Rhinolophus ferrumequinum: one gene and its partner. The protein of the gene in region 2 interacts with the protein of the main gene of each other region in a pairwise test. Links are inferred from orthologs where the notes say so. Each region holds a gene or a part of one and is shown on either strand. Other genes may lie near its edges.

What was found. The genes of interacting proteins can lie anywhere in the genome.
Region 1: the proteins of PADI4 (region 2) and ANXA4 interact in binary tests that used the Homo sapiens proteins (3 or more experiments, as listed by UniProt). The two-hybrid records come from large-scale screens. The link is inferred for Rhinolophus ferrumequinum from reciprocal best matches to the Homo sapiens genes PADI4 and ANXA4.

The regions. Positions count from the first base shown.
Region 1 is NC_046296.1:21,137,703-21,145,057, forward strand, and holds the start of ANXA4 (annexin A4), read right to left. Parts: upstream 3,019-7,355; 5' UTR 2,865-3,018; intron 1-2,864. UniProt on the Homo sapiens protein: Calcium/phospholipid-binding protein which promotes membrane fusion and is involved in exocytosis.
Region 2 is NC_046292.1:11,371,910-11,379,481, forward strand, and holds the start of PADI4 (protein-arginine deiminase type-4), read left to right. Parts: upstream 1-4,470; 5' UTR 4,471-4,567; coding exon 4,568-4,659; intron 4,660-7,572. UniProt on the Homo sapiens protein: Catalyzes the citrullination/deimination of arginine residues of proteins such as histones, thereby playing a key role in histone code and regulation of stem cell maintenance.

The DNA.
Region 1 (7,355 bases), on a different chromosome or scaffold from region 2:
TTCCCATAGCAAAAGCTCTCAGTCCAGTTCAAACATAACTGAACACTAACAAGTTACTCTCATAAAACCAACAACAGGCCTTAAATAAAAATCCTAAATTCCTAGGGAAATTAAACTTTATTTTTATTTGTTTGATTTACATATATTGTGAAATGATTGCCACAATAGGTTCCGCGAACATCCAACATCTCATAGATATAATAAAAAGAAAAGAAAGGAGAAGAAATGTTTTTCTCCTCGTGAAAAGAACTCTTAGGCTTTACTCTCTTAACATCTTTCCTATATATCATACAGCTGTGTCAGCATATTGTACATTATATCCCTAGTACTTATTTATCTTAGGGAAATTAATCTAAATATAGTGAGCCACCTTGGTTTCAATTAAGTACAAAAACAAACAAAAAATATTTTGTTGGAACTCCATATTGGTCTAGAGGTGTTAAGCACTGCAAAATTATAGGGTAAATTGGATGTGATAAGTATAATAAAGAACTTGAGAATGGGGACAGTTTCAGCATTTATCATATTACCTAGAATTTATAGTATACTGACAGGCCTAAATTCACATAAGTCCTATGTTTTTGCTAATGCTTTATCAGGCATACACATAGTCATAGAAGTGTTTCTAACGCTTAGTTTGTCAAAGCAAGGTCCAAGAAACACCTGAATTATAATCATCCAGGAGGCTTATTAAACAGGCAGATTTCTGGGCCCAACCCTGTCAATCTAGATATAAAATTTGGGGAGTTGGGCAAAAATCTGCATGTTGTGCAGGCTTCCTGGAGATGTACCTGAAGTTTGGAAACTATGGCTTTAGAAGTCGTGTTAGTTTAGCCTTCTACCCCTTCACAGCTCCATCAGAAAGGGGAGGTGGAGCCCCTGCCTAGATACCTCTGGTGAGAGAGCTCCCGCCAACTCCAAGCCCACCCAGCCTACCCAGGGTTTCAAAAGTCACTTCCTTAAATTCATCCAGAAGCTACCATCCAAAAAACTCCTACCCAGCTCTGCCCAGTGCCACAAAGAATGAGTTGATTCCCTCATCCACCAGCCAAGCCCTTCAAGCATTTAGGGCTATTAAAATATGTCCCCACACCCACCTCAATCTACCCTCTCTAGTTGAAACAGCTGCAGCTCTTTCACATGTCAGCTTGACAAGAAGAAAGTTAAAGAGGAAGAGAAAAATATTTGGTCAAGATTTAGTCAATAAGCCAGGAAGCCACAAACCCAAACCTCACCTCACTATGAACTGAGCACTGATGGAGCCACAGTAGGGCAGAGAGACTACATTGTTTATAAGTGGTCTGACCTTGACCAAGGACCACAACTTGGAACCTTGGGATCCTCATCTGTAAAACAAGGTTAATAACCCCACTTCAGGTTGAAATAAAGATTAAAGGAGTAACCTAAGATGACTGTTACTCGAAGTCCCTCCAGGGAGGACACTGGAGCGCCAGCAAACTGCTTCCAGAAGTAGCCCTAATTGCAGTGAAAGCAAACCCTCAAGGATTAGATTTGGGCCAAATCACAGCTGAAGGCCCATGTGATTTTTCTTTTTTTTTTGACATTTCTTGTTTTATATTAAAAAGGTATCTAAACTTTGAATTCTACTCCAGAATGTATCTATGAGGGTATAAAAAAAGTGTTTTTATCCTCAAATATTTCGGTAAATTTGACACCCAAGGAAAAATCCCCTCCAGGTCTTATTTATTCTGAAGCTTCAGGTACTCCCTGGCCACCGCCTACCATTTGCAGTGCCTGCCAGTCACCTCCATCTCCCTTGGAGAAGAGCAGGCTTAGTTTACAAAGAAGAGGAGCAAGATGGGGAAAACAAATGAGAAATAAGCAAAGAAACGGGCCATAAGACATGAGTCTGGGGAGGACCAGAAGCTCAGCCTTCAGCTATTGAGGGCTGATGTGCTCGGTGACTGTGCACGATACGCTATAAAGTGCGTGCGGAGAAAAATGATCCCTAACAAATGCAAGAACGTCTAGGAAGGAAATGCCCTTGATTCAGTAGTTGTGTGTTTGCACATGACCGTGTGTGTGTGTGTGTGTGTGTGTACATGTGTATGTCCCCAAAGCAATAGAAATCTGACCTAAGCTGAATGTAGGGGCTCTGGCCTTGGCTAGACAGGGCTCTGGGAAATAAATAGGTCTTGGGTGGCAATGGTTACCCATTTCTGATTCCTGTCCCCTTTCTCTTCTGCTTGCTCCAAACAACTCACAGAACACTTGCATCAACTTAGGAGCACTTAAAGGTGGGCAAATTGTTGAAAAGCAATCACCTCTTTGGTCCCAAAGTCTCCAGCTGGTAAAAGCCATGACAAAATAACGAAACTGAGCCACTGACGGACTGAAGTCTTGGATCTCATTAAATAATAACAGATCCCCATGTGTCAGGCATTGTGCTGATGGCATTAGATATTCCAGAAGGTGAGAAAAAGTAAGAAATTAGGAGAAAGGAGTCAAGTTCTTAAAAGGAGCAAGGAGAGAATTAAAAAGTAAAATTTGGGTGTTGGACTGAGTAAATTTCACGGAATATTAACTCAGTCCTTTGCTTCCAATGACCAAACCCAGCATAGTGCTTGGCACGTGAACTCAATACATAACAGCTGTGGTCCCTGATTGGCATCCTGTATAAACCGCTGTGGAGGGCCTTCTGGATCAAGGCCGTGTTTGCCTCCCTCTTCTCCACAGGGAGCAAGTCCCGGGCCGCCCGCGGCCTCCCGTCCACCCAATGCTGCCCCAGTCACGCTCGCAGGAGGGCGGCGAGAACCCTCCGCGGCGCGGCGCAGGCGGGGCAGGCAGTCCCCGCGAGGCTCCCCTTCCCCGAGCCCAAGACCCCGCGCCCGGGGCCCCCTTACCTCTCTTGCCGAGAAGAGGCGGCGGTTGTTCTCAGTGGCCACGGAGGTCACACCCTTGTCCCGGCCAGGCAGCGGGTCTTATCCCCGGCGGACCCGCCCCACTTCGGGGTGGAGACTGAGCCCGAGTTCCTGGTTGTTCCTCTGCCCACGAGACCGGAAAATCCTCCCGAGCAGAGCGCACCTGGAGCGGGGCCCCGGACCGCCTCGCCCCCGGGCCGGGGGCTGCACAGGGCACGTGCCTGCCCCCTGGGCGGCGGCCAGTCCCGCTCTCCCGGCGTCCGATCACGCACCGGCCAGCCCGCTCCTGTCCCGCGGAGTCCGGGCCCCTGCACTGTCCACTTTTCGAGGGCCTGGGCGCCCCAATCCCCGTACCGTAGGTCCCAGCCCCCGGGTCTCTCCCGTCCCGCTGTGCGCCCGCCGTGCCCAGCTCGGCGCTGGAGTCCGGAGTCCCGCGGCGAGTCAAATCTTCCTCCTGGGGAAACTGCACCTACTCGGTCAACATCTGGGTTCACGCCTAAACCGGCCCGAAAAGGGGAAAGTCAAATCAGAGTGGCTCATTTCGTTTCCCTCTTGCGCGTTAAAACATGCATTCCAAAGAGTTCCTAATAGTTCCACATCTCCCTAGAGGAAAACCGAGTTCCCTTTCCTTGGGGAAACCTTTGGGGATAGGAGTTAGCAGGAACCCCGGATCTTTCTGCTTTCACCTGTTAAATTACCAGGGTTTGGTGCTCATCAGCAGCTACTGGGTGCTCTGCGCAGCACTCGCCCTTCTAATACAGTTTAACGTGTTCCTATCTGTCTCCCTGACACAAGCCTCCTGAAGGCACCAACTGAGTCTGGGTGGTCTTTGCACCCGTGCCCAGTACTATTTCTGGCACACAGTAGGTGCTCAGGGAATGCTTGCAGAATGAATCCGTGGAGTCTACAGGCAAATTCCGATTTTATTTAACAAAGGGTAGGTAGCTTTGGGAAGTGTGTTTGCTATCCAACAGACCAAAATCCAAGTGGCTATTCGCATCTTTAAAGCAGGAGGGGTAGCATTAAGTGATTTCATTCAGATGTAGCTAAAGGAGGTGGGATGACAAAGTTAAAAGCAAGGTTCAAACTGATGTGGATTCTAGACCTGCTTTTCTCGTGCTTGAAAACTTAGTTTCTGCACTTCAGTGTATTGAACTAAGGAGAAAACAAAATTAACAAGACAAACAGAAAAAAAGAGTGAAATACAGACAATTCATCTCCTCAGAGAGATCAGAGAGACTATTGCATCCCTTTAAAAATAACAAATTAGCTACCTTAAAAAAAAAAAAAAGGTGAGGAATGGAGCAAATGCTGTTAGCACCTTGACAAGATCACTTACTAGACCAGGTTGGGAAGCCACAGTCAGAAGCTAACATTAATGGGGTACAAAAGGCCAGGGATAAACCTGTGATACCCTTCGTATTCCAGATCTCCCACTGGCTTACGGTGAGGCTAAATCTCAGCAGAAACCACATCTTTGCTCTACTTCCTCCTGTGCACTACCCTATTTCTCTCACTTACAGGTTTCTCCTGAGAATATTCCCTCGCCAAGGTACTTACACAAGAATCCCTATCTCAGGCTCTGCTTCCAGGAACCGGATCTAAGACGGGGTGTTTTAAAAATTAATATAACTGTTGAAATGAAAGACTCAAAGGAGGCCTTAAATTAAAGACAGCAGAATTAACACATGTATTTGCTTCAGCTCCCTTTGGAGATCCACCTAAAACAATAGTAGTTTTGTTTTGTTTTGTTTTTAATTTCATAAGGACAAGGGGAAAAGAGAGGAAAATAATAACAAAACTTTGGAAACGGGAAAGTAGTTAGACAGGTGATAATGGACTTCGCAGACTTGAGAAAACTGACTCCTAAGACAGGAGTAGGGAAAGGTGAGAAGTAACACGATATTGTAGAATATCTCAGGATACCCAGGAATTTGCTACACCAGGTACTTCTGAAAGTGGGTATGTAGTAAAAACAGGAGGATTTTTTTGTAAGTCTGTACAGGAAGCCATCAGACTCCTCCACCCCTTCCCACACTGCACAGCTGGTACTGCTTCTCCCCAACTTGGGCAGAAGATTGGAAACATCCTCTGGAGGGGATAAAGCAGAGGATCTCTGGCATGGGACATTCCAGGTGTGGTTAAGATGTTCTGGTTATCGAAGGCTGCCTAACAAACTATCCCCAAACTTGGTGACTTAAAACAATGACCATTGTATTATGTCTCATGATTTTGTGGGTATGAATTTGGACAGGGCTTGCCTCGGCAATTGTTCTGTTCCATGTAGTATCAACAAAGGTCACTTGGTGGTATTCAGCTGGCAGAGAGGCCAGTCTGGAGGATTCACTCACATGTCCAGCATGTGATATACTGGCAAGGATAGCTGGAAGGCTGGTCTCAGCAGGCACTGTCCACCAGAGCACCTACGAAGTCAGACAATTCAGTTCGCGAATTCATCCTAGAAAAAGTGCTGCACACCTCATTGCTGAATATCACTGCGGTCACCTTCGAAGAACTTTCCTTGAGAAGCGATGCACTGACGCCAGCGCCTAGTCCACCCTTCAAAGCAATTTTGGAATTCTTTTTCTGGAATGGCCATCAGAGCTGTCATCATATTACCCTTGATGTCCTGAATGTCATCAAAATGTCTTCCTTTCAGTATTTCCTTTATCTTTGGGGAAAGAAAGAAGTCATTGGGGGCCAGGTCAGGTGAGTAGGGAGGGTGTTCCAATACGGTGATTTGTTTACTGGGTAAAAACTCCCTCACAGACAGTGCCATGTGAGCTGGTGCATTGTCATGATGCAAGAGCCATGAATTGTTAGCGAAAAGTTCAGGTCCTCTAACTTTTTCACGCAGTCTTTTCAGCACTTACAAATAGTAAACTTGGTTAACTGTTTGTCCAGTTGGTACAAATTCAGATTGAATAATCTCTCTGATAGCAAAAAAGGTTAGCAACAGTGTTGCAACAAGTTCACAAACTTAATTGTCAGACCTCCTATGCGTCTTCCCTCCACATGACACTCTCCACATAGTCAGATTTCCTACATGAAGGCGCAGGGATTCCACAAAGGATACTCCAAGAGATCCAGGAAGAATTTACAGATTTTCTTATTATCTAGGCTTGGAAGCCCCTGAATGTTATTTCTATTGCATCCTATAGGTCATGCAAATTATTGGGTTGGTGCAAAAGCAATTACGATTTAAAAGGTTAAAAATAATTGCAAAAACCGCAATTACTTTTACACCGACCTAATACTAACGCCAGCCTAGGTTCAAGGGAAGGACAATTAGGTTCTATTCCTGACTGGGGGGGACTCACAAAGAAAATTGCCACCACCTTTAATCTACCACATGAGGATAGGGGAACTATACTGAAATTGAAGATCTATATGAAACTTAATATGATAAATATTGAGCAGCTCAGTTTTCTTCACTTGGCTACTAGAATACTGGCAGCTAAGATGGGGAGTTTGGAATATTGTACTCTTCTTTGGGGAGGAGTAAGGATCTAAAGAGACTATCATCTTACTGAATGAAACTGGAGGAACCCTTTCGTGGACTCACTTTAGTCAAGCCCCACCCACATATACACACGTATGAAATTTGCAGGCAGCATTTTAGATCTCTCTTAGGGTTGTACAGTAAAATATAGGGCACTTCATTAAATTAAAATTTCAGATAAACAAAAAATAAATTTTTACTAAGGTATAAAATACTTATATATTATAACTATGTCCTAAATATTGCATGGGACACATTTATGCTAAAAAATGTTTATCTAAAATTTAAATTTAACTAAGTATTCTATTGTTTTATTTTGTTTTGCTAAATCTGGCACTCTTAGATAAGAGCGGACAACTGAAGGACATCAGAATTTAAAGGAAGAATATGACATGAAATGTAGAACAGAAAAAAAAAAAGAAACTTGGGGGAAAAAGACCATATATGGAGAGAAAAAGAACTTTGAACAATCTATTACTGATCTCCCTTGAGAAATAAAACAGAATAAAAATAGAATAGATTCTCCAAAAAATGAACACTCAGAAAACCAAACATAGCTCTTTTAAACTAAAAATGTGATAGCAAAAATGAAAAACTCAGTAGAGTGGTAGGAAGACAAAGTTGACGAAATATCCTAGAATATATAGACAAAATGCAAAAAGAAGAGAAAGAGGCATGAAAGGATGAGAAAATTAAAAATCCAGTCCAGGACTTTTGGGAAACAGAGGAGAAGAAATCAACTAAATAATTCAATTATATATTTTTAGAAATAAAGGACATGTGTTTCCACATTGAAAGTGCTTGCTGAGCCCAGCACAATGGACAAAAACAGAACAAGGAACATCATGATAAAATTTCGGAAGACTGAAGACACACAGATGATCTTACAAGCACCCAGAGAGAAAGATGAGGTTTCATATAAAGGATCAAGGACCAGAATGGCATCAGATCTCTCTGTAGCAACACATGAA
Region 2 (7,572 bases):
CAGTGACAGCTCCTGGGCCCAACTCCCTGCTGAAATCCCTGGCGGCGTCAGACAAATGCCTGAGCTTTGCACCATCCAACTGGACGAAGTATAAATAATCATACTCCAAAAGAAAGAGAATGAAAGAATTCAGAATTCAAGAATTACTGTATGACCCTGCAATCCCTCTCTTGGGTATCTACCCAAAAAATCTGAAAACATTTATCCATAAAGACACATGTGCTCCAATGTTCATTGCAGCTTTATTTACAGTGGCCAAGACATGGAAACAACCAAAATGTTCTTCAATGGATGAATGGATAAAGAAGTTGTGGTATATATACACGATGGAATACTATTCGACGGCAAGAAAAGATGAAATAGGACCATTTGTGACAACATGGATGGATCTTGAGATTATAATGTTAAGTGAAATAAGTCAGACAGAAAAAGCAGAGAACCATATGATTTCACTGATATGTGGTATATGAACCAAAAACAACAAAAGAACAAGACAAACAAATGAGAAAAAAACCTGATAGACACAGGCCGGCCCGGTGGCTCAGGCGGTTGGAGCTCCATGCTCCTAACTCCAAAGGCTTCCGGTTCGATTCCCACATGGGCCAGTGGGCTCTCAACCACAAGGTTGCGGGTTCAACTCCTCGAGTCCCGCAAGGGATGGTGGGCTGCACCCCCTGCAACTAGCAATGGCAACTGGACCTGGAGCTGAGCTGCGCCCTCCACAACTAAGACTGAAAGGACAACAACTTCACTTGGGAAAAAAAAAAGTCCTGGAAGTACACACTGTTCCCCAATAAAGTCCTGTTCCCCTTCCCCAAACAAACAAACAAAAAAAACCTCATAGACACAGACAATAGTTTAGAGGTTACCAGAGGATTAGGGGGGAGGGGGGAGGATTAGGGGGGAGGGGGGTGGTAGATGAGGGTAAGGGGGATCAAATATACGGTGATGGAAGGAGAACTGACTCTGTGTGGTGAACACACAATGTGATTTATAGATGATGTAATACAGAATTGTACACCTGAAATCTATGTAACGTTACTAACAATTGTCACCCCAATAAGCTTTAATTAAAAAAAAAAAAAAAGAATTCAGAATTCAACCAGGCAGGAAAGCAATTAGTTGAAAGAAGTTAGCCTCTGCCCTATGGAGGGTTCCAGATTCAAAGCAAATGAAGGAATTACCGAAAGGTATAAATTGAACCTGAATAACCATCACCCCCTCTAAATGGCATGGATGCTAAAATTAAAAATAGAATGGCATTTAAAATCACTCCCCAACATGAAATATTTAGGTATAAATCTCACAAAACGTGTGTTAAGACTTAAATGCTGAAAGCTACAAAAGGCTGTGAAAGAAGATCTAAGTAAATGGAGAGACATACTATGTTCATAGATTGGAAAACTCAACGTAAAAAAGATGTCAATCCTCCCCCAAACTGATATTTAGGTTTAATGCAGTTACTATCAGAATCCCAGCAAGATTTCTGTCGATACAAGCAAGATTATTCTAAATTTTTCTATGAAAAGGCCAAGGAACTATAATAGCTAAAAACACTTTTGAAAAAGAAAAACAAAGGGGGAGCAACCATTCTACCCAATTTCAAGAGCTGGCTACCGTCATCAAGATTGTACTCTGTTGGTCGATAGACAGACAGATCCATGGAGCAGAATAGAGAACCTAGAAATAGCCCCACGCAAGTATGGCCAACTGAGTTTTTGACAAAGTTACTAGAGCAATTCAGTGGAGCAAGGATCATCTTTTCAACAAACAGTGCTGGAGCAAGGGATATATCTTAAAATAAATGGTGTTTTCAATTCAATAAAATACAGCATCTCTTGTACACCTACTCTGCTCCAGACACTAGTCAACGCAGTAGGGGTATAGCAATGAACAAAGGGAAGTCCCTGCTCTTGTGGTGCTGCCATTCTCATGATCCTGGCCCCAGGGAGAAATCCTGCATGCTGGAGAAGGAATGTGGGCACCTGAGGTCAAAGATAGGGTAGGAGCCCCCTCCAGGAAAGGAATGCAAGGCCATTGAACTTCATCTGGCTGGGTCCCTTTCCTTTTCTTACAGATGGCATAGTGGAAGGTTGCCAGCTTCCGAGGCAGACTGACCTGTATTTCACCTCCTGTCTCTGCCTGTGACGTAATGCTCATCTGTCAGTGAGAACAGGTGTCCTCACTTCATCAAGTTGTTGTGGGGTTGACAAACGGGGGTGCAATAAATTGGTGCAGCGTGGGGCCTGGTGCATGTTCAAGTGATGATATTGCCCTGTGTGCCCATGTGTCCTTCCAGAACCTGGAAGTGTTCTGCAGAGAAGAGCAGAGAGAGGTGCTGGGGGCGGGGCACGGCTGTTGGAGCAGAGAGAGGAAGAAAGGACCCTCCACTGCCCCACCTGCTATAGGCACCAGTGCTTAGCCAAACACCTTAGGAGGAGGGGAGATTCCCCAGTTTCGGCCAGTCTGGACGATCTAGACATACTCCCAATTTTCTATTTGAAGTTATGGATAGGCTGGGGGCTCTTTGTGCTAGAAGGAGTGATGGTTTATGTGGGTTCCAGTTATACCTCTGGAAAAATGAAACAGTAGAGGAGGGTAACAACCATCTCTACTGGGGAAAAAAGCTCCATGAAGGCAGGATTTTTGTCTGTTTTGTTCACTTTGTATCCTCGGTGCCTAGAACAGTGCCTGGTAAACAGGAGGCACTCAGCAAATACTTGTTGAATTAAGGAAACTGCTTTGGCTTATTCTTTTTGTGGCTTATTCACAACAAATTTAACCCCCAAAATGCTGAAGAGAAAAGGGGGAGAAAGAAAAAGAAAAAAAGCAGCCCAGGAGAACTAACACTTGGGGTAGAGCCCAACCTTCCGGCTGACATGCTGTGTGACAGGGGGCATGCCACAACCCCACTCTGTGCCTCAGTTTCCCAACCACAGAATAAGGACTGGATTTGGTGTTCTTGAGAGCCCTCCTAACTCTGACAATTGACAGCTTCCTCCTCCAGCCTCCTTTAGAAGCTCAAACTAGTCCTAATCATATGACGAGCCAGAGAAACTGGGTTTATTAAGACCTACTGTGTGCAAATAGTCATGTGGATGCATCAGAGTACCAGGTCTGGCCATGTCATCTACTGGCACAGAAAATGGGCTTTGAGCCTAGAAGAAGTGGTTTGGATCCCAGATCCCCACTTTATGGGTTATCGGGCCGTGGGGTACCATTTAGCTTCTCTGAGCCTCAGTGGTCTCATCTATAATGTGGGCATCATGATGTGACCTACCTCAAGGGTCCTCATGGGGCTGCTGCATGAAGCAGGATTGGAACTCAGTCCTGCCTAATCCCACAGCCTGGCTCTTAACGAATGAGGCAAATGCTTTGTTTCAAAGCCAGAGCAAATAAAAGCACACACACACAATCTCCAACCCCCAAACGTGCTCTGCTCATTCCAGATCCCCATGCACGCCTCTTCTGGGTATTCCCTGCTGGAACCATCAACCCACTAGCAGGGAGAGCCTGGCACCAATGGCCCAGGTGCAAGCACAGCTCTGTGGTCGAGTGAGTGTCCTGTGGGCAAGCGTGGCCCACTGCAATGTCTAGTCTGACACCCAGAGGCCCTAGCGAGACGCAGCCATCCTGGAGTGTACAGGAAACACTGGCTCCCTGCTCTGCCACACACAAGCTGTGGCACCTTCGGCAAGTCGCCTTTCTTCTCTGAGCCTCTATTTTCCCTTCTATAAAATGGGTAGTAATAATAAACCCCTTTATACTTTGTATTGTAGTAATATGTAGATGTGATAAAGTCAGAAAAGCTTGTGTCACGTGGACAGGCAACTAATGCATGTCGTAGACTGAAGCAGGATGCCTTTGGTTCAAATTCTGGCTCTACCGTTTTGTAGCTGTGTATCCTCTCTGAACCTCAGTCTCTTCTTCTGTAAAATGGGATAGTAATGGTATTGATGTCAGAGAGCTGCTGTAAGAATGAGATGAGGGAATAATAATATCACCTACTTCGCAGGCTTGCCTTAATGAATTATCCCAGTGAAGTGCAGAGAAAGGTGCCCAGCACATAGAAAACACCCAAGAAGGGTGAGTTGTCATGTGGGTGACTCAGCCTGGGGAGAACTGTCCCAAGGCAGGTTAGTCTTTGCATGTGTAGCCCGGCATGTGACCTCTTGCCTAAAATCTCCCAACCACCCTGCGATTCTCGCCTTCTCCTCTCTGACAGCCTGTTTGCATAGTTATGCAAGGTTGGCTGGATCCAGGTGTTCGTGACCCCAGGCAGGCATGGGGTTATGCGCATGACAACCCAGACCTGCACCCCCACACCCAGGCTTCCTGAACCCTCTGCCCTTCCTGGAAAACTGACAGAGCCAGCTTGTCACTGATTCTGGCACTGACGCCGATGAAGTCGAGGGGCAGCTCTGAGAGTACACACCTGAGACCTGAGTGGGGAGGGGCTAAGCTGCTGGGCCACAAACCACAGGTGCTGACTCATGGCCTTCAACGGGCAGGATAAAAGAACTAGCCCAGGGACTTCCTGCAGCTGCAGGGACGAGCTGACCGGACGATGGCCCAGGGGACAGTGATCCATGTGGCCCCAGAGCAGCCCACCCATGCTGTGTGTGTGCTGGGCACCAGTACTCAACTGGATGTCTACAGGTGAGTGGGGACGTCTCAGGGGTGGGGGGCAGGTCCAGTCATGCTGGGTGAACAGGTTCTGATGGCACAGGATGTGTGGTGGCTCAGGCTTCAGGCTCCAGCCTCTACGGCGGCTACCAGCTGGAAACATGAGACCTGAGCAGCCCCAAGACATTCCTGGACTCAGGACAGTGGATTCTTTGCCAGGGCCTCACCACAAATAAATTATTACAGGGCAAACAGAACCATCTCCTTCCATTATTGAGGCAATGGAAGCTCAGAGAGGGTCTGTGACTTGTCTAAGATTACACAGCACGTGTGCCTTGGAAGCAAGGCTAGACCCTGGACTTTACAACCCATATACCTGGTTCATGGTGCAGTTTGTGACCCCACACCTCTCAGGTAAGCCTCCCTCTGTGGGGGCATAATGGTGTGGGTGTAATGAGACAGGCTCTGACACAGGAAAGGCTGAGGTGGGAAACCTGGCCCTGCTCTTAGCTATCTGGGCTGCTTTGGATAACTGAGCTTCAGTTTCGTCATTTGTGAAATGGGATTAATACTCACTTCATAGGGAGGTTAAAGAAATGTGAAAAACCAGGTAAATGTTTGTTAAGTACTTAGCACAGTGCTGGGCATATCCCTGGTACTTGTTCATTCATTCATTCATTCATTCATTCATTCATTCATTCAACAAATACCAGTTGAATACCTGCTATGAGCCAAGCCCTGTGTGAAACGAGATGGTCTAGGAAAGCTCTCAGCAGGTGCACATGGTTGGCATCATTGTTGTTTGTTAGTAACAGTACTGGCAGCCCCTGGCTTCCTCCATCCCAGGCTGGGCATCTGTGGTCCAAGAATGGCACCCACAGGAAAGTCTGGGGCATCTCCTTAAAAGTGTCACTTGTTGCCTGAACCAGGCAGCGGGAGAACAGCAGTAAATGTCTGGGTGTCTTCCCAGGACATAGAGGGGAGGCAGGACACTGAGAGGGTGAGGTGTCAAGGAAAGAGAGAGCGGGCCTGATGTCATCGGAGGGCCTCTCCCTCAGTGAGACATTGAGCCCAGCCATTCAACCCCCTAAGATCTCACATAATAATGGCCGACATTTACATCACACTTCCTACACATAACTCTTTCAACAGCCTTTACTGTTATTCCCACTTTACAGAAGGAGAAGCTGAGGCTCTGAGAAAATTGAGTAACCCACCCGAAACCACACAGCTAGTAGGTGAGGGAGCCAGGATTCAAACCCCTGCAGCCTGGTTCCGAAATCTTCCTCCGTTCCTGGACCAGCCTGTCCCGTCACCTCTAACTTGCCTTTCATAGCAGTCCCCAGCCAGTGCCTTTGGCCCATCTCCTGAACAGCCACCACTCTCGCTGTGGCCTGAATTCTCCTTCTGGAACACATCTGGGATTGGTACGCCCTGCTCAGCAGCATGGCCTTCTCGACCCCCTCCCAGCACATGCATGCCTCCACACCCTTGCTCAGGCTGTGCCCTCTGTCACTGGTCTCAGAGCCCCCAGGGTTAGAAAGACAAGGTCATAGAGGCAGGAACAGACCACAAGTGTGCGGACTCCTATTCCAGATCTGCTCTTACAACCTCTGCTTGTAGTTTTCATTCTGTGTTTGCAAAGTACTTTTCCTATAGTGGGAAGTACATTGGTTATATTCAAACAAAATTCCACTGACCTGAGATGAACATGAAAACCTATCCAGGGCCTTCTGTGATGCTTGTGGCTACGGTCAGGGTGGTATCATGACCCCAGCTACTATGTGCCAGGACCTTCTGTCATGATTTCTAATACTCACAGGAACTCTATCATCATGCCCATTTTAGAGATGAGTAAACTGAGGCTTCGAGAGGTGAAACCACCTATCCAAGGTCACACAAATCAAAGGTGGCAAAGCCAGGAGATTTGAACCCAGGACCATCTGATCCTAAGTCCACCTGTCTCCACAGCACACACTACCTCCAAGTGCTGAGGGGCTGGCCTCGCTAGGCACTGCTGCCTGGTTGGTGGAGATCATGCAGCTTCCATAGGGCTTAGAAAAGGCTTAGAATGGTGTGGGGGCATCTAGAAGTTGCCGACCACAGAAGATGGTGGGCATTCTGAAGCTGCCAGCCATGGGCTTCTCCTCTTTCTTCTAGGGTCTCCTTCTGAACAGGAGACCACTCAGTGTGACGGGGGGAGCATGGAGAAATCTGTTAGTGTCTCTGGGCCTCAGTTTACCCATCTGTAAAATGGGAAAATTAACACCCACCCTGCTGGGTTTTGGTAAGGATGAAATTATAAAACGCAGGCCAAGTGTCCGGCAGAGTGGTCCCCGTTTTCTGTAAGGACAGCATGTGCCACTGAACATGAGAGTGTGGCAGACACTAAGTGTCGCCCAACTGCTGGTCATTGGTAAGGAAATGTTGGATGCAGAAGTTGGAGGGATGATGTCACTTGTCTCGGGCCAAGATCTCAGTGCTGCCTCTACAGAGGCCATCGGAAGTTACAAGGAGACTCAGCTCCAGATTATCTTGTAATAACACACGTGGGCGCCGCCGCCACACAGTGGAAAGGCCCGTATAGGTATGAAAGTCCCTAGAGTCAAATCCCAGTGGTGCCACTTCCCAGCTGGGCCTCACCTCTCTGCACCTCAGTTTTCCCATCTGGCAGAAAGGTGGCGGTGAAGCCTGGAGATTGTGGCTGTAACGCCCTGGCAGGTGGCAGACCCACCTGTCTGCATTCTTCTCCCTGCCCCGGGCAGGAAGCCACTCAGGGCAGAGCGAACCTAGGTGGCCATCTGCCTTCCAGCCTCATCACGTCTTAGTGCCTCACATAAGAAACCTGGGCGTTCCTCTCCTCCAGTCGAGCAAGTCTATTCACTCTGGCACCGCCTTCTGTGGCTTTTCCTCATAAGAAAATAGCAATAACAGTGCACTACCATG